2 linked regions of the Diceros bicornis minor genome follow. The protein of the gene in region 1 interacts with the protein of each later gene in a pairwise test. Links are inferred from orthologs where the notes say so. Each region holds a gene or a part of one and is shown on either strand. Other genes may lie near its edges.

Region 1 (10,586 bases):
CCCTCAAGAGGCAGCAACACCAGCAGCAGCCAAGAACCACTCAAGTGGTCGTGTGCATCCTCTGTAAGAGGCGGGCAGTAACGATACCTACCCCACAGGACTGCCGTATGAGGAACGACTCACACATACAAAGGCCACATAGCAACTGCTCCATAAATGCGTCACATACTTCTTTTTTTTTGTGAGGAAGACCAGCCCTGAGCTAACATCCCATGCCAATCCTCCTCTTTTTGCTGAGGAAGACTGGCCCTGGGCTAACATCCGTGCCCACCTTCCTCTACTTTATATGGGACGCCGCCCTAGCACGGCTTGACAAGCGGTGCATCGGTGTGTGCCCAGGATCCGAACCCGGGCCGCCAGCAACGGAGTGCGCACACTTAACTGCTACACCACGGGGCCGGCCCCCATCATATACTTCTTTTCATCGTCCACAGCACCTTGACACAGGCCTGGGTGATGTTGCCCTGGCTGACTTCTCCAACCTCATCTCTCTCCACGTTCCATCTCACTCCCGTATCTCCAGCCACACTGGCCTCCCAGCCCATTCTCAGGCCCAACACACCAATTTCTGCCTCAGGACCTTTGCACTGGCTGCTCCCTCTACCAAGAACACCTTTCTCCTGATGTGTACATGGCTGCCTCCTTCTAGTCACCCAGGTCTCAGCAGAAATGTTGCCACTTCAGAGGCCTTGCCTGACCACATGTCTAAAGAAATGCGCCTTCATGTGACTCTTCCCCCTCCTCGTACCCCACCTGCTTTTCCTTCATGGCATTTTCCACCTCCTAACATGTCTGTTTACTTGATGTCTGGCTCTCCTTCTGAAGAGCTACAAGCCTGTCCCATTTGTTGACCGCAGTATCGCCATGCTTAGTACAGATTCCAGCACACAAATTTCTCCACAAACATTTACATGGAAAAAGATATCATTAAGTGTTTTATGGAAATAACTTCATTAAATTCTCACAACTCCACGAGTAGCAACTACAACTGTCTCAATTTCACAAACATGGAAACAGGCTCCCAGAGGATTTGTCACTGGCCCAGGACAAGTGTCCTGAGGGTGGTGGGAAAGCCCTGCAGAGCTGGCACCAGGACCAGGTCCATCTGAACCCAGTACCACCACACCTCACTAGCAAAATGCCTCATCACTTGACAGCAAGGAGGAGTCAAGCTCCACCAAGGGAAGACCTCTCACCACCCAAGCAGGAAAAGGGTACCCATCTTATGCAAAGAAGGTACCTCAGCTGAAGATTTTTGGTGAAACGGGTTCTAGGGCAGGGAAGAAGAAAATGTGTGTGTGGGGGCGAGTGAGTCTGAGGGGAAATAATTAACCAAAAATTCTCCTGGTGCTATTTCTGGTTTTTGTCTCCATCCCCCATCCCCGTGACCCCAGCTGGGGCCACAGTCATTCCACTGGACCCTGGGCTCTCCCCAGGCTCCTCTCTTGCCCACTCACGTTCACCCTCCACACCTGGAAGCTCTTTCACAACTGACTGCATCTGTTGCCTGGCTCCCTGAGGCCCTCAGGACGAAGTCCAACGCCTCACCCGGCCCACAAGGCCCCATGAGCCATCAGAGCACTGCTCACTGGAAGCTTCTCCTCTAGGCCTCAGGCACACAAAATTACCCATAGTTCCCAGAATGCCCCAGCTCTCTTTGGCCCCTAGATATTTGCACATGCTGGTCCAGGTTAGGAACACTCTTCCCACTCATCATCACACAAATACTGATTCCTACCTGGAAGACCTTTCCAAAATGTCTCCTTCTCTATGAAACTGAATGAATCTCTCTTTCTAGGTGCCCAATCCCAGCCCTGACCGCTCGGCCTGTGCTTCCCCAGTCATGGCCCTGGCTCCTCTGGGCTACCACTGTCTGGTAGCGGGTCTGTCACCCACACTGGACTGTGGCTCCATGAAGGCAGGACCAGGACTGCACCAGGCACCAATGTGTCCCCAGCACCGCAGGGTGCTGGCTGGGCATGATGCTTTAAAGCACGTGGGGGATTTACGTGACTTACTTTGTTTTCAACAGCAACTTGATCAGTAACCTCAAACTTCGTCCCAGTAAGCTCCTTTGGTTCTGCCAGCAATTTTCTTGAGGTGACAGTGAGAGCTAACATTTATCAGACTCCTACTAACTGCCAGGTACCATAAAAACAAGCACTGGGGGCCAGCCTGGTGGCATAGTGGTTAAGTTCACACACTCCGCATCAGCGGCCCGGGGTTCACGGGTTCAGATCCCGAGTGTGGACCTACACACCACTCATCAAGCCATGCTGTGGCAGGCGTCCCACGTACAAAATAGAGAAAGATGGGCACAGTTAGTTCAGGGACAATCTTCCTCACCAAAAAAAGAAAAAAAATAACCACTGCATGGAGGTTTAGCTAATTCAAGCCCCGTAACATCCGTGCAAAGAAGGAATTATAATTTTGCCCAGTTTTCAAATACCGAAAATGAAGTTCAATAAAGGTAGTAACTTGCTGAAGAAAATGGGAGAGTACATCAGATGTCAAGAATGGCGTTCTCCAGCAGAATTCCACACCAGTGGCCTCAACCACTTTTCCTTGCTGTGTGACCTTGGACAAGTCACATCACTGCTGAGTCTCAGTTTCCTCATGTGAGAAACGGGAATAACAGCTCCTTCCTGCAGGGCTGTTGTGAAAATTACACGTGATCAAGATTTATACATCAGAGGCTGCTTGGTGGCGTGGTGGTGAAGTTCACACCCTCCACTCCGGCGGCCCAGAGTTCGTAGGATTGGATTCCAGGCCCAGACCTGTGCACCGCTCATCACGCCACGCTGTGGCGGCGTCCCATGTAAAGTAGAGGAAGACGGGCACGGATGCTAGCCCAGGGCCAATCTTCTTCAGGGAAACAAAAGAGGAGGATTGGCAACAGATGTTAGTTCAGGGCTAATCTTCCTCACCACAAAAAAAAGATTCATACATCAGTGCCTCGTATAGAGTGTTAACCATCATTATTTATTCATTTCACTTTCTTTTTTTTTCAATTGACGTCTGTCATTTTCATTTTGAAATGAAACACGTTCACTGGGGACTGATCACTGAGAACACGACAGTGACCAAGACAGTCCCAGTTCTAACCCTCAGGGAGCTCAAAGGCCAGCGGAGGGACAGCCCCATGACAGCCTAGAAGGATCAGGGCTTGAGGAGGGGATGTCTAGGGCCCGTGGGAAGTCAGAGGCAGGCACCTGAGGGGAAAGGGGATGGGCACGGCTTCCTGGAGGAGGGGTCCTGTGAGCTGAAACCTGGAAGGACGAGCAACAGTGACCAGGTTACCGCGCGGAGCGGGAGATGAGCTGAGGAGCGTTAAAGACAGCGGAAGCAGCACGTGCAAAGGCCGAGGGGTCAACTCTAACAGTTTGGCTGGAGGAAGCTCAGGAAAGGAAGTAGATACTGGGGATGGAAGAGGCGGCCAGCTCCTGCGGGACAGCATGGAGTCAGAACTATTCCGAGAACTCACCATCCTTCTTGATCTTCTCGTTGAGGTTGTTGATATAAATAGTGTGGTTGGGACGGGTCTCGGGAACTGCCATGGAGTGAGGTAGGGCTAAAAGAAGGAAAAAGATAACTTCAGCCCTGGCTTTCTCCAAATCCTTTGTCCCAGCGCGGGCTTAACGGGCTGATTATGGATCTTCCTTCCAGGAGGAAGGCAGGTCACGTAGGTAGAAGAGAAGAGAGAGGCAAAGCCGGGGAAACAAAGCCAACGCAGCACGCGGCTTCTCCTCCTCGCGTGTGAGGGAAATCTCGAGAGGTTTACTACCAGTCCCAGGATGCTCTACGCGACCCAGTAGGCGGAGCGTACTAAGTGGCGATTCCCATTGGCCCACGCACTCAAAGGGCGGCCCAGGAGAAAAAACCCGGATGTAAGAGCCAGTTAAGGAAGGAGGGACGACTTTGCGGCGCCCTGGCCTCGCGCAGTGGGAAAATAATTTCCCCACACGAGGTGCGAGAAGGCTCGGACGCCAAGCGATACGCCCGCCCGGCGTCAATGGCCGCCTGCGCCCGAGATTACTTACAAACAGAGCCACAGCTCCCGCAAGTGCTGCCTGCTACGCTTCTGAGTGCCGACCACAAAGCTGCCTCTCCTGGCCCCGCCTCTGTCTTTCTGCAAGCCAATCCCCGCGCGGAAATTCGGTAGCTTGACCAATCAGAGTAAGTCCCGCCCCTGGGCCAGATCTTGCCAATCAAAACGGCACTTAGGTTCCCGCCTCGGCAGGAACACCCCGCCCACTCCCCGCAAACCCTCCGCTTGCTGCGGCGCCTGAGGCTCCGGACCAATCAATGAAGGCTGCGCCCGCTCACGCGCTTCTTGCCAATCGGGACGCGGCTCGTGCTGCAATCTCTTCCGGAGACAGTCCTTTGGCAGCCCCAACCTCCCCTCCGCCGCGCCTTCTCTGTCACGTGATCGCTAAAGGGGCGGGCACGAGTTGCGAGTCCTACCACGTGACATGTGAAAGGTTGTGAGCTGCGGCCGCCATTTTGTGGGGTTGCGGAGGCGCCTTTTACGTCCTGGCTTCATTCTCTACCCCAACGGTATCGTGGCTCCCAGCGCTCTCCGATTTCTGAGCCTTCCCCAGCCCGCAAGACTTTGTTTTTTTGCGCTCTGATTCTAGGACATTCTCCACAAGTAGGCTCTTTTTCCTGCCAGGTGTCCTTTTGACCTCTTGACGTCTGGCTCAAAGGTCAGCTCCAAGTTTCTGAACTCGGGCCTGCAGTGTGAGGGGTTACAGAGCGTGAATAACCCAGTCTTCAGCCCTGGGCTTCTAAATCCCACGGCTTAGGCGCCTCACCCCAGGTCTGAGCCTTCATATCCCAAAATTGATCCTGAAGTTTCCAAATCTAGTCCCGGATTAGTTAACTCCTACTAAATCGCCCTCCTTGAGCCTTGCAACCCAACCGGATAGCACAAATCTAGCTCCGGATTAAAGGACCCTGCCCTGTTAACCCTCAGATCCCTCCTGATTTGAGTCAGCCTCCTCCCTGCTCCCATGGTTCCAAATTTTACCATGGTTCTTTCAATGATGGCTCGGCCACTAAATTCTGGGACTCAGCTCTAAAACCTTCAGAATCTCCATCCCTGAGACCAACTCATTTTGGAGGATCGTTCTCTCTCCCATTCTTGACTTCCAGCCTATGCCATAGACTCTCAAATGATTTCTCCGTGTTCTCCTCCCCTAGAGCCACCAGCCCCTCCTCCAAGACCCCCTGCACCCCAGGCCCCCATCATTCCACCTCCTCCGCTACCCCCACATCTCCCCGACTTAGCTTTTCCACCCCCTTCCTTGAGTCTTGAGGCCCCTATTCCCCCACCACCCCCACTGCCACCTCCACCCCCTGCCACAGGGGTTGCTCCCCCTCATGTCTACGGCCTGGAGAAGAGCCGGCTCCTGAAGGAGGCCTTGGAGAAGGCTGGCCCAGTCCCCAGGAGCAGAGAGGATGTGAAGAGGCTGCTGAAGCTGCACAAGGAGCGGTAGGGTCCCTGTGCCCCACCCCACCCCCCCGGGGCCTCACTGAACCACCTGTCCCCAGAGCACTTCAGCCATCTCCTCTGGGAGGTTTCTCGTTTCCTCAACGTCAAACAGCCTGACTGCTTCAGCCCCCTACTTAGACCGCTACAGCAGTGGTGTGCCTTCAGCCCTGAAGAAAGATCCTGCCCCCACAAGTGTTGCCACCCAAGGGGGTAGGGGTCGGGGGGGGGGGGGGGGGGGGGGGCGTGGCGTCTGCCCACCGCAAGACGTGCCAGTAGTCAAGAGGCAAGGAGGTAGGAGAGAAAGGACTTTTCATTACAGCTTGCTAGCAAGGGGGAACATGGCGACTAATGTCCAAAAGAACCATCTTACGGAAAAAGGACTACAGGCCAGTTATCTATGGGGCTGGTCTCCAGGTGGGGGAGGCATCTGATAGTCTTTGTTTTACTAGATACGGGTCAGAGAGCTGAGCAGGGTGTTATACCCTGATCTTTCAGTTGTCATTGATGATGGCAGTCAGCATAGACTCTCTGCCCAGGGGTCACCACATTCCTAAGGGACTCAGAAGAATAAAGTTATCCATGTAAAGCAGTTGGAAGGGGCCATAAAATCTACAGAGTATGTCTGGGTTAGTTAATGGAAGGTCGTTCAAAGTTACAATATGGGTTCTTTTCTTCAATATGGCTTCCTTATGTCAACCTTGGGTTGAACTGGTATCACAAGCATCTAGTCCAGTGAGACAGATCCCTCCCTCCACCAGAGAGTGACAGCCCAGAGCAGTCAAAACTCTGGGCACCCAGAGGGAGTGCCCAACCCAGGCTGGGGGTGAGGGGGACCTGCTTGGAGAATGGGACCCCTGAGAGCTGTTGAGCAAGTCCTGCAGGGCTGTGTCACGAGAGTAAGCAGCTTGTGCCGAGACTAGAGTGAAAGGAAGACATGTTCTTGTAAAGGCCCTGCAAATGTTTCTCTAAGGGGACAGGGGAAGTGGCAAAGATGGGGTTTCACAGGTGGGCAGGGCATGGGGGCCCATGTGAAGGAAAGTGGACTGTCCTGAGGGCACTAGGGAGCCGTGGAAGGGCTTTGTGCAGGGAGGGAGGCGACTGCGGGGAGTGGAGGTGGTGAGACTGGAACCTGGGGACCCAGCAGGAAGCTGGAGCACCAAGGGACCCAGGCGGGAGGGGAGGGGCTAGACTTGGGCTCGGGCTGTGGGGACCCGGTTTACCAATTGTCTGGCTGAGTGAGAGAGGGAGAAGTGATTTGCCCAGACTCCAAGAGGAAACTTCCAGCTCTCCAAATGAGTTGATAATCTGCCCTAAATGCCCCAACCATAGTGAGGCAAATTTGATGCAAATAACAATACCCGTTATGCCTGCCTAGCATGTGTCAGGCAGTGTTCTACGTGTTTTTAAGTACTTATTTAAACCGCTCAGCAGCTCATGCAATGGGAACTATTATCCCATTTTCCAGATGAGAAAACTGAGGCTCATAGAAGTGAAATCACTTAGCCACAGTGCCTAGAAGAGAAAGAGCCCAATTTGAACTCAGGCAACGGGGCTCCATGCTCTTAATCATGTGCCGTGATAGCACCTGCTTTATCAGGAGGGTGGGGTGCCCCCCCAGCCTTGCCCTTTCACTGGCCTTCTAATAGAAATACAAGCACTTGGCCCTCCCCCTCCTGAGCCCTGGAGGGAGTGGGATTGGCATCACCAGAGCTGTTGGCAGGCCTCCCCAAGGGTGGGGCTGGGCGGGCCTGCAAGGGCTCATTATGAAGGTGATCTCTAGGCCTGGAGCATGTTGTTACCTGGTTTTACTCAAGGCTGAATTAAGGAATTTTCACCTTATATAAGATATTTCTGTGGTTCCTGGTTGCAAACCTTCGCCCCTTCGGTAACTGAGAGAAGGAGCAGGGAGCAGCAGGTGGAAGGATGATTCCCATTGAGCAGATGAGGAAACTGAGGCTCGGGACGGGAAGTCCCTCATCTGGGGTGAAGGAAGTCAGTGACAGAACCAGGAGTGGCCCTCGGGCTTCAGGACAGCCAGGCCTGTGTTCCTCCTCATCACCGTCCCTTGACACCCCACTCCTGGCCAGACCTCAAGGCGGGGGTCTAGGAGCTAGTTCCCACGTGACCTGAGTGTGGCTCTGATTCAGTTTCAGGAGTGACCTGCGGTGGATCCTCTTCTGTGCGGAGCTGCCCTCCCTCATCCAAGAAGGCCCTCAGTACGTGCCCTGATGCGGAACTCCAGCCCCCTGGCCGGCCAGGCATTCCGAGCCCCTGCCTTTGCTGGGCTTCGTGAGGATTGACCCAGGAGGGTGGGAGGAGTGGGAGGAGGCAGGCTGGGGAGGTGGGGGGGCGGGAAGGGGAACTTACCAAGTTGAGGTCCTGGGTGCATGCGCAGTAGACAGAGTTGGCACCAATGAGCAGGTGAGTGAATGAATGAACCTGGTCCCTCATCTCTAACTCCACTTTTGCACCTACTCCTCTTTGAAGCCCAGGTGACGTCTGTGCCCACCCTCTCACCCCACCTCCAGCCCTCCAGCCCTGGGCTCAGGCCTTGGCCATCCTCTCTCTCATGAAAGGGAGTCAGGTGTCCCCACCCGGCCTGAGAGAGGGGAGGGGAACTTCCCCAGGGCAGCAAACCTGTTACCCAAACTTCAGCTTCTGGGGCAAAGGAGTGCCCAGTAAAGACATGACTCAGGTTGAGGGGCTGGGCCTGGCTCTCCCCAGGTGTGGGCTGGTGGCCTTGTGGATGGCAGGCACTCTCCTGGCGCCCCCCAGCGGTGTCCCCCTGGAGAGACTCGTGCACATGGCTGTGGAGAGAGGCTACACGGCCCAGGGAGAGATGTTCTCTGGTGAGTTGGGTGCAGAAGGGTTGCAAGTCAGGTGTTCTTCACCAGCAGGGGACTGGAGAGGCTGGGTGGGACACTGCCAGGTGCATGAGGGGAACTTATTCTGTTCCTCAGGCCCGTCTCCCCACCCGGTAGAGCAGAGTATTACAAGGTAGACTTGAGCCAGGCTGCCTGGGTTCCCAGCCAGCTCTGCTACCCCCTACTGTGTGGCCCTGGCCAAGCAGCTTACCCTCTTGGAGCCTCATTTTCTTCGTTTGTACAAAGAGGTGATGGTCATGGTGGGAGCTAGAGGCTCGATCCCCAGAGAGCCCTTGGCACGGTCCCAGGCACACAGTGATGCCTTGCTCTGTGTCTGCTCTGTCTGCAGTGGCCAACGTGGGCAGGCTGGCCCGGGAGGCGCTGGGCTGCCAGGCTGAGCTGCTTTCTGGAGGCCTGGGCGGTCCCAACAGAGACCGTGTCCTGCAGCACCTTGTCGCTGGAAATCCCTTGCTCATCCCGTATCCCAAGGCCGGGAAGAGAGCAGGGTGGGGATGGAGAAGGGTGGGTCCCAGGGCCACACCACAGCTTTGGCCTTAACCCCAGCACCAGCTACGATGAGGACTTCAACCACGAGCCGTGTCAGAGAAAGGGCTACAAGGCCCACTGGGCAGTGAGCGCAGGTGGGTCGCCCCCTGCACCCCTGAGCCCTCACGCTGGATCTCCCCAGCCCCCCGTCACCCCCCCTCACAGTTTCACCCTTGCACTGGCACCTCCCCAGTCCCCTCGAGGCGAGGACAAGGGCTGGGCCATCCCTGTCCCCAGAGGGTACTTAGCAGGGACCTGGCAGACAGCAGGTGCCTCAGTGTCTGCCAGTGGGGGTTTCCATGCACAAGCTCAGAGTGCAGACTTTAGGATCGGACAGTCTGGGCTCCAGGCCCGGTCCAGCCACTCCCAGGCTCTGCTCTGGGCTTCCATTTCTCCATCTGGAAATCAAGGTGACAGTAGCACCCACTGACAGGGCTGCTTTACAGGCTGAGCACATAGAACTCGTACAACAGGGCTTGGCACGTTACACGTCTCAGTGTTGGCTGTGATGAGCGTTGTCATCATTCCACCTGCCTGAAAGAAGGATGGATTTGCGGGTGTCAGGTGGCCTGGATTGAGGCTCCACTTGGGCCCCTCGTGGGTCTGTGGCCTGGAGGGCTCCTCCCTGAGTATCTCTTTGTGATGCAAATGGCTGTTTGCTCTTTTTAGCGCCGCCTCCCAGCTCCCTGTGCTGACAGGCTGGAGGAGGCAGGACTTGCCTGCAGCTGTGGAGCCAGACACCCTGGGTGCAGATCTCAGCCCTGCCTGTGGTCCCTGCTGACGTCTCTGTACCGTGGGGATAGAGGCAGCACCTACCCTGGAGGGCTGTGGGGTGCACTCAGTGAGCCCCAGCACCTCGTCAGGGCTCAGCTCCCACTCACAGCCTCCCCCTCTCCTCCCAGGGGTCCTGCTGGGCGTGCAGCATGTGCCAAGTCTCGGCTATGCCGAGGACCCCGAGCTGCCAGGCCTGTTCCACCCAGTGCCTCACACGCCCCGCCAGCCACCATCCCTGCCGGAGGAAGACTCGCCAGGAGTCGTCTACCTTCTCTCCAAGCAGGGCAAGAGTTGGCACTACCAGCTGTGGGACTACGACCAAGTCCGGGATAGCAACCTGCAGCTGACGGACTTCTCGCCCTCGAGGGCCGCTGATGGCCGGGAGTATGTGGTGCCTGCTGGTGGGGTGCGGGCCGGCCTCTGTGGACAGGCCCTGCTCCTCAGACCACAGGACTCTAGCCACTAGCCTGCTGCGGCCCTGAGCTGTGGGACTGGGTCTGGGCCACAGCCTGGCTCTGTCACCATTTGAAAAACGCCCCCGTTTCTCCTTTTGTGCAACAGCCCAAGGGTTTGGGTTGGATCTCTGAGGACCTCCAGCCAGAGGTCTTTCATGCAGGGTCCACCCCAGTGCATCCAGTCCCAATCCTGGGTATTGTCCCAACTCCTCTGCCCCCAAGCCCATCCCCCCAGTATTGAGCACCTACTCTGTGGGCCGGGGTTAGAACCAGAAGCCTCATAGACAAGCTCCCTCTCTCCAGGGGAGACTGACAGCAGCTCAGACCCAATGTCCTATCCATTCTACGTGAATGTTGCATCCATTGAATTCTCACTGGTGACCACCTTCTAACCACTGTCCTGTCTCTGGACATCTGCAAGAGCCTCGCCACTGGACCCTCTGCTGCCTCACG
Region 2 (9,186 bases), about 18 Mb from region 1:
ACACGGAGACAGCTGGGGCGTTACCTGGTTCAGAGTCCCTTGGTGCTGGGGTGCCGATGGCTGCTGGGGTGTGGCTGAGCCGTAGGAGCCGGCTATCCCGTACTGGGAGGGGGAGCCGTAGCTCTGGTACATGCTCTGCCAAAGGCACAGGAAGGAGGGTTAGGGGCAGGCCCAATTCCTGCCGTAAGGTCTAGGCCTGCCCCCTTCTCCTGCCACTCAGGAGCCATACACAACTTGTGACTCTCCACTCATCTCTCACCCCTCTTTCTCCCTCCACCGCATAAATGCATCAAATTATCTTATATTAAAAAAATTAGTAAATAAAATGAAAACTGCTATCAATTCCATACCCCACTTCCACTAGTTTTTAGAAGTTTCTCTCTATTCAACAAATATCTACTGAGTGCCAACTCTTCTATGCACTACAATAGAACAAAATATAAAAGACTAAACCTGTGCTCTAACAAGTTTGCACTCAAAACCTAGGCTCAGTCGTAGACAAACACGTAACACATCCAGCGGCAAGTAAAAGAAGGCCAAATAAAGACAGAGACAACAGGGTGAGCGGGGGACAGCCCTGTACATGACTAAGTTTGCCAGAGGAAAGGGCTCTCTGAAGGTGACATCTGGGCAGCCCTCCAGGAGGCGGGGACACAGGGCGCCGTGGGAACAGGGGAAGAGAGCTGCAGCAGAGCAGAGCAGAGTGTGAGTGGACCTGGTGTGTGCAGAGATGGAGGAGGTCTCTGTGGCAACTGTCAGCGAGCATGCGGGGAAAGGTGGCCAGAACCAGGTAACGTGGGACTTGGCGGGCCACAGGCAGGACCGGGGATTTATCTCGTGGGCAATAAGCTAGTGGAGGGCTTTTCAGCGGTTGTCACTGCTGACTTCAACCCACTAACTACTCTGGACCCATCCTGACTGAGCCCAGCTCCTCACCCACCCATCCCTGCCGGGCTGGGCACCTACCATGGGGTAGTAGTAGCTGTAAGGGTAGGCGTAGTTGTACTGCTGGTACCACTGGTAGTACTGCTGCTGCTGCAGGGCCGAGGCTTCTGCCTGTGACACGTACTGTGGGAAGAGAGGCCCACACGCCATCAGCGTTGGCAGCAGGAACCCACGGGCCCCACAGCCCCCACAAGGGCAGGCTGACTTTCTGGTGGTCAACTGCCGGAGTGGAACTGGGTCCACATCTCTCCACAGAGAGCCACTGCCTCTACCTCGGACTCGGGGCACTGAAGGCACGCCTCGCTCTTCAGGTTAGGTTCCCAGGGGCAAGGACCACATGGTACCTCCGACTCTTCAAGGAAACAGACCTGCTTCCCCTACCCGAAAGCTCCTACAATCTCTTCAGAGCACTGTGTCCAGTGATACAAAGACACCACATGTGTGCCTCCCCCAGCAGCCCCCCGTGCAGCGTGCCCAGGCCCGTGCGGCCCTCTCACTTGTGCGCTGGTCACCGGCCCATTGCTGCTGGCCTTGGCAGAGCTGCCAGCAGCTCCTGCTTTGCTGATGCTGGCCAGGGCCTGGCGGGCCTTCTCCCACTCTGGGTTCTCGTGCATGGGCGTCTCCATGCCGTTCTCTCTGCCCGCCCCCGCCACCATGCTGTACTGGGAGGACCTGCAGAGAGAGGACGTCGAGTCAGTCTCCTCTCCCCACTGCACACAGTGGGCAAGACGGAGGCAGGGAAATACCAGAGCTCAAATCCCGGATCTCCCTCTCTCCATCTATAAGAGCCTAGATTTCCTAATCTATGGTAATGCTGACAATTAGTTTCTGCTTCAGTTTTCTGAGGGATAAATGAGACTACCTACCTAAGGTACTTTTCCAGGTGCCTGATACATAGCTGTTAAAAATCAAACAGGGGGCCAGCCCCGTGGCGTAGCGGTTAAGTGCGCGCGCTCTGCTGCTGGCTGCCCGGGTTTGGATCCCGGGTGCGCACCGAGAGGCACCACTTGTCAAGCCATGCTGTGGCGGCATCCCATATAAAGTGGAGGAAGATGGGCATGGATGTTAGCCCAGGGCCAGTCTTCCTCAGCAAAAAGAGGAAGATTGGCATGGATATTAGCTCAGGGCTGATCTTCCTCAATCAGTCAATAAAAATCAAACAAATGAAAAAATTACCAGTGTCCACAGAAGTAAACATGGAACCTGGCGCCTAAGAGGTGTAAATGTTTTATGAATCAAAGAATTCCGTTTGACGCTACCCCAGCCAGCAGGTAATTATCACAATGCGGTGGAAAAAACAAGCAATTAACAAAAAGATAAATGCTTGAGTATTAAGTGTTGGAGACCGCCTCCAATCATAGTTCATGAATGAATCATCACAATCTTGTGAAACAAGCACTGCACTGTGAAATATGAAAGTTCAGAGAGGTGAAGACCCAACCCTCTTCACACTATGACCACATGCTTCCTTTTATGCTTGAGGCCAGAGGAGGGCGTCATCCCCACCGCTGCCCACAGGGACTGCTGCATCACTTCCCCCACGCTGTTGTGGGAGGGCCATCCCAGAGGACAACACTGGCTCTCACGTCCTCTCGCCCTCCCCTCCAGCTTCTGTCCCACTAGCCCCACTAACCAATCTGTGCTCCGTTGATCACCCACGTTGGCCGCCATCTGGACCTTGGGGTGTAAGGGGTGGACCTCGGGAGCCAGACTGCTTTTTCACTGTCTACGAGAAAAAGAAAAGAGTTAGGGAGACTCAAGAAGGAGCAAGAGACATGTCACAAAAACAGGAAGAGAAGTGGATGGACTCAGAGGAGCTAGGCAGAAAGGGGGAGTCTGAGAAAGAAGGAGCCACTGGGGTAAAAAATCTGAAGAGAATTCTGGGTGTCAATTAAAAGGGCTACAGTAAGAGGGCAAGACCTTGGCCTCCCTGCAGTGCTCTAGGTGGGAAATGAAGGATCTGAAAACAGGGATGTCTGAAGGAATTTCCCAAAGGGAAGGAGAAGGATCTGAAACACATAGGAGGAAGGGGAAGGTGGTTCAAGGGAAACTCTGAGACAGATAAGAGGGAGGTCCAGAGGGTAGGCTGGGGGGACCTCAGTCAAGGGGTAAGGAGTCCAAGAGGAATTCCAGAGAGGAAGCAGAAGAAAGAGGACGCCCTGATGAGCAAAGCCTGAGTGAACTCCTAAGGCTGGCGGACGCTGAAAGGTTTCTGAGGGGAACTCTGTAAAGAGGGAAGGGTTTGAGGGAGCCTTGAGAGAAGAGAATACCAGAGAACAGAAAAAGAAATCAAAGGAAAAGGGGATTTCTATAAGTTACTCCTGGAAACAGGGAGAAGTTGAGGGTGCCCAAGGGGAACCCCGCAGTGAAGAAATGGGTTCTTGAAAAGCTTTTAAGAGACTAATTACAGGAAGGTCCCCTAAGGGCACAGAAGAACCCTACATGGCAGGTTCCTAAAAGGAGGGGTAGGCCCAGGAAGGAGAAGAGGCAGCCCCGCGATTGGGGGTCTGGAAAGTAAGCTTCAGGGATGCCTGAAGAGATCCAGAACATCTTTAGGAGGTTGAGACGGGGGTGGAGAGGACTGCAAGAAAGTGAAGGGGTGTCTTGGAGGCAAAGACTGAGGGGCCTGAACTTGGGGGGATAACTGAGAAGTATGGGTGGGCTCCAAGGCGAGTCTCACTGGAGAACCTGAAAATCGTAGAAGTGAGGGAGCAGGAACAGAAGTCTGGAGCTGGGAACAGCCCTAGAAAAGAAAGGCCTTAAAGAGTAAACAAGAGGACGGGGGAGGGTAGGAAATAGGGGAGGAAGGCCTGCAGTGAGCGTCCTGGCGAGTCTGAAGGGTGGAGGCAGGAACCGGACGCGAGGCCGGGGAGGCGAGGGGCACTTGGCCGCCCCGCAGGCCCGGAGAACGCAGAGCAGGGGCACCGGCTGCAGGAAGAGCCCACCTCGGCCCCCGCGACTGGCTCCGGAGCCACCGCCCCGGGGAAAAAGCCGGCGCAGGAGCCGCCCGTCGCCCGGGACAACGCCGCCCCGCGGCTGGAATCGCGCGGTCAATGGGTGTTGAGGGCGGGGGCGCGCGGGCCCCGGAATTCCGAGGGCGGGGTCGGCAGCCGGGCCCACGGCGCAGGCGCGCGGGTGCGCAGGCGCAGTGGCCGCTCCGGCCCGCCACACCCTGTCGCCGCTCGCGCGCGGCGTCCGCTGCTGCGACAGCCGCCGAGGCCTCCGGGCCCGCGCGGAGTAATGCCGAAAGGAGACGCCGACCACGCCCGCCCGCCGGCCCGCAGCTCCCCACACCCACCTCGGCCGATCGCCCCGGGAATCGTCAGCAGCGGCCCAAAGCGAGAGCAACACGGCCGCGAGAGTGCTCCCGACCCGGCTGGCTCTTGTCTTCCTAGGGCTCCGAAGTCCCGACCGCGGCGTGATGACGTCACACGGAGGCCTCGCCCCGCCTCCCTCCCGCCGCACAGCCAATGGCCGCCGCAACCTTGATCTGAGCCCGTTCCCCCCCCCCCCCGCCTACGCAATGACGCGGTGGGCACTTTAAAGGCAAGCCGGAAACGGGGCGGGGGGATGGTGGCCCCGAGGGGACAGGCGCCGCAGGCTTGTAGGACCCTGCGCCCTTCCGCGCAGCCGTGTGGGGCCTCGGTTCGCGGTAGCCTTGCTTATCTCTAGGTGTAGACTAGGGTGATGAGAGTTGTAAAACTACCCACCGTACAGTGCTGCGGAAGGCCCGGGGAAGACAATGAACTCAGAGAAAGGGGGTGAGAACAGTCTCCCCTTGGAAAGGGGAGCTTCCCTACTAGATAAAACGGGGAAGGCGCACCCGGCGGAGGGAACGGCCTGGTGAAACACTCAGAGGCGGGAAACAAGGGTAGGTCGGGGAGAATGCTCGGAGCAGGTATAGGATGGAAGTGTGTGGCCTCCTGGCGTGAAGAGCTAGGCCAGTAGCAGATCCTGAAAGTCTAAGGAGTTTGGCCTTCCTTTAAACTCCTTGCAAGTCACCTTTTGAGCATGCCATCTGTTTCCATGCAGGACTCGGGCTGATAAAATTATCCAGTCCAGTTCAGGGAGCGGTCACTGGAGTCGCAGTAGGTGATAGAACAGTATTTCAGAGGCCAGTTCCTTCCCACTTTCTGTTACTATAGACTTTTCTCTTGGTGTATGTATCATTTTGTTACTGTTAGCATATGATGAATAACCAAAAAGCAGTAAGATACATTGGAGTATGTGAGGAAGCCGTTTGGTTTAAAACTAATCCAGCCTGACCTTGTTTTTCCAGAAAGGGTTGACCTGGCCTGTCGACTATGCGTTGTCCATCTGTTTTGAACATTTACAATGACCCAAAGCGGAGAATGATGCCCTTGAAGATAGGGATATTGCCTCCCCTCATATCAGTATTTCTTTCAAGATAAGCATTTCTTCCTAGAAATTAAGGGTTAATTACTATCCTGCTTTAGCTCATCTCATTACCGTCGACCTGCTGTGCTAGCAAGTATCCTGTGACTGTAGTAAAAGATATTCCTGGCATAACTGATGTATATTCCTTGTTCCAAAAGAGTCTATAACCACTCTGTATACCCCGCTGCTTCAGAGAGCTTTCTTCCTTGGTGAAGGTACTCTCCCCGGCTATGTGATCCTCAGGACTGGCTCATCATAAACTCACCCCCATTTGATTTATAGATTGATTACCGATTATTTGCATCGACACATAGTTGACCTTTTTCCATTCTTTTACTTTTTATTATTAAACTTTTTGTTTTAGAATAATTTTAAACTTACAAAAAAGCTGCAGAGATAGTTCAAGGTCCCACGTACCCTACACCCAGTTTCCCCTAATGCTGTCATCTCACTTTACTGTGGTATGTTTGTTAGAAGGAAGAAACCAACATTGGCACGTGACTATTAACTAAACTGCAGGCTTTATCTGAATTTCACCACTTTTTCCACTGACGTCTCCTTTATGTGCCAGAGTCCAGTCCAGGGTACCCCACTGCATTTAGCATCCATGTACATTTCAGGGTTATATTTAAGGGGGTTTTCATGTAGACGGCATATAGCTGGATCTTTCTTTTTACTCAAATGTACAATCTCTGCGTTTTAAAAGAGGTGCTTATAACTGTACTTTTGGTGTGACTATTGGTTTGGTTCCCTTTAAACTCATCATCTTGCCATCGAGTTTCTATTTGTTCCATCTTTCTTTATTCCCCTTTTCCTCTTTTTCTGCCTTCTTTTGCTTTGAGCATTTTTTTAAAAATAGACTTTATTTTTTAGAGCAGTTTTAGGTGGGGCCTTTGGGAGGTGCTCTGCCTCGGGGCCCCTCCCCTGCACTGTGGTGGGAAACTCTCTTCTGACAGACTGGTGATTTCAGGGATCACCTTGATATTTCCCATCTCTCAGGGACCACTCTCCCTCCTTGCCTGATGTCCCGAGTCTTGAGCACCGTTCTTTCACGAATTTTGCCTGGCTTTTTGGTTGTCTCAGGAAGGAGAGCAGATCCAGTCCCTTTTAGTCTATCTTGGTCAGAAGTGGGAGTCCTCATAGGTATCATTTAAAAATAAATGATAGATTTTAAATTTATAGATTTACTTTGGTAAAGATTGGGCAAATGTCCTTTTTTCTTGGGTAAAGCTTCCTGATTAAAGATCACTGGAAGGCCAGCTGGCAGGAAATCACGCGGCCTGAACCTCAAGGGTACTTTGCGAAATCCAACACATCGCGCTGGACTCAGAGTCACTAGGGGGCAGTGTTTGAGAGCAAAACAGCCAGACTAGCAGCAGGGCTGGCCCCAGGGTCAGCTCACCGGGTCTTGAGAAGCAAGTGAGTCAACACAGGTGGCCCCCAGAGCCCTTCACAGGAAATTATAGTCCATTTCTCTTTCCTAGCTTCAGGGCCACACACTGAAAGCTCTCTTGAACACTCCTTGCAGTGCACAGGATGGAAATGATTAGCAAGCACAGAGCGGTTCCCCCATGGCAGGCCCTATGCTGGATACCCGCATCTGACACTCAGCCAACCAGCCCTCACCCGAAACCCTCAGGGCCATATATGTGTCTTGGGGCTCCAGGATTTTTCAAAGTTTTGAGAGACAACATGGTTTATGTTCCATGTGGCACACCACATCCACAGCACCCTTCACAGCACTTGGAAGTAACCCCATCAGTTTCTGCAGGGAAACAGATGAACATTCACACCAGGCAGGGAGATAGTCTGGAAGTCACCTCATGCCAGGTCGGGTCAGGTCCTGCTGCCCAGGGAGTTAAGGGAGGACGTTTGGTCTAACACAGCTCTTTGGATTTCAGAACTGCAGAGGAGGGACGGGGGAGCTGTCTTTCATGACCCATCTGATGGCTGAGGCAGCTGAGGTCCAACAGGTCAGGTGACTGCCCACGGCCAACTGGTGGTAAAGAGCAGGCAGGGCTTAACCACGGCCTCCTCTGTGTTTGTCTGCTCTGCTGCTATTGTCACACCCACCTCAAATCCCTCCTCTCTCAGGCTTTCCCTGAAATCCCAGGCCCAGCCAGGAGCTGTCGTGTTCTGGAGAGCCCTGCTGTAGGGTGACTTATCAGACATGTCGTCTTTCTGTGGACTTTAGTTTCCAGAGTTTAGCTGATGGTTGCAGCAAACAGTCCTTGACATATGTCCTCAGATGCCTCTGCTTTCTTTCCATAAATTGATTCCCAAAAGTAGGACTGCCGGCTCAAGGGTCTATACAGTTTGATTTTATCACACAGGAGCAGATTATTTCTTTCGTGTTGCAGTTCACAGCCTCGGGAGCAGGGCGTTTGGGTGCCTGGTTCCTCCACATCCTTGCCAGCATGGAATGTTAGTGCTCCTTTAATTTCGTGATAACTAGGTGGTGGAAAAAAAAGTTTGTGGTTGTTTCAAATTGCACTTCCTAATTATTATGGTTTGAATGGTTTTTCGTTTTCACTGGTGATGGGATTTTCACTTCATTGAATGTCTATCTTAGTTGCTTATTTTTAAGTTGGGTTGTATTTTTCTTAGTTTGTGGAAGCTTTGTAGATTATATTTATATATTAAGAATTATATATTTCTTTGCCATATATGTTAAAAAAACCCACAATTTTCCCCAGACTATCAATTTGCCTCTTGACAGCATTTTTTTCGTTCCACAATTTGTCAAATGTTACCTTTTCCTTTTCGGCTTTAGGATATCTTGCTTAAAATCCTCCCCCTCCAAGCAAGATATACAATATACAGAATTCTCCTACTTTCTCTTGAAATGCTTCCATCCCTTTACTTGTATACACTTAGATTTTTCACCCATCTCGTATGTATTTCCAGACAGAGAGCCAGTTAAGTCAGCAGTGCTTCGAAACCAAACGGTCCTTCTCACCCTGACCTGCAGTCTGTCTTCTGTCATCTATACAAACACTGAGATCTATTACCAGGCTATCTATTCTGTTCCAGGGATGTCCACCTCGTCCTGTGTCAGGACACATGTACTGCTTTTAAAACCAGAGAAAAAAAGTTATTTTTTTTTTTAAAAAGAACAATCCCTTTGGAACCGCCGCAAAGCCTGGACAGGAGCAGAAACACCGGCAGCCAGGAGGCTGAGGGGAAGGGATCTCCCCGGACCTAACTAGGAGGCCAGAACCAGGAGGGGACAAATAAGAAGGACCCAGATCCTTGTAAAATAAAGTCTTCCCTTTTATTTCAAACCAACCCATTCCCAAGTTAGTGCCACAAGTTGAGATCAAGGGCCCTAAGCCCACTGGGGCACCGCAGGGGCGGGGGCACTCGTGTCCCTTCAAGGATGGGCCTGGCGGCCAGGGGTGAGGGGGTGTGAGGCTGGCTGGCTGCCCCTCCCTGGCCAGTCCGGGGCCCTGGCTGCCCCCTCAGCTTACTCCCAAGGGTTAGGACACAAAGAGGGGGGCAGGACAGGGGAGCAGTCCTATTTGGGGTGTCCGTGGCCAGCGGCGTTGTTAGTGGTGGGAGCCCAGTTGGGCTGGGTTAGTGGGGTCTTCTCCAGCAGCCAGGGAAGGAACTGCAGAGAGAGGCAGAGACAGGGCACCAGATGCAGGTGGGAGGGCCACCACCGTGCCCAGAGTGAGGGAGAGGAGGGCAGAGGCCGGCTTTGGGAGCTGGGGTGTCGCTCTGGCAGCTCACCGGAGGTGGGGGGTAGGCTGCAGTCTGGCATGGAGGAGGGGCTCAGATAGACGACTGCCACTGCACAAAGCGCTTGGATTCCTGCTGGGGAGATTTGGGTGAGAGGGGACA

The links. The genes of interacting proteins can lie anywhere in the genome.
Region 2: the proteins of SNRPA (region 1) and LENG8 interact in binary tests that used the Homo sapiens proteins (3 or more experiments, as listed by UniProt). The two-hybrid records come from large-scale screens. The link is inferred for Diceros bicornis minor from reciprocal best matches to the Homo sapiens genes SNRPA and LENG8.

What each region holds. Positions count from the first base shown.
Region 1 is NC_080773.1:14,227,129-14,237,714, reverse strand, and holds the start of SNRPA (U1 small nuclear ribonucleoprotein A), read right to left. Parts: upstream 4,136-10,586; 5' UTR 4,041-4,135; exon of another isoform or gene 4,029-4,040; intron 3,705-4,028; exon of another isoform or gene 3,572-3,704; 5' UTR 3,558-3,571; coding exon 3,485-3,557; intron 1-3,484. Other genes in the region: ACTMAP (actin maturation protease), read left to right, coding at 5,175-5,494, 7,642-7,710, 8,219-8,343, 8,708-8,837, 8,929-8,999, 9,807-10,144. UniProt on the Homo sapiens protein: Component of the spliceosomal U1 snRNP, which is essential for recognition of the pre-mRNA 5' splice-site and the subsequent assembly of the spliceosome. U1 snRNP is the first snRNP to interact with pre-mRNA.
Region 2 is NC_080773.1:32,059,390-32,068,575, forward strand, and holds the start of LENG8 (leukocyte receptor cluster member 8), read right to left. Parts: upstream 4,347-9,186; 5' UTR 4,244-4,346; intron 2,672-4,243; 5' UTR 2,617-2,671; coding exon 2,579-2,616; intron 1,618-2,578; coding exon 1,443-1,617; intron 1,069-1,442; coding exon 967-1,068; intron 136-966; coding exon 25-135; intron 1-24. Other genes in the region: TTYH1 (protein tweety homolog 1), read right to left, coding at 8,920-8,953, 9,076-9,156.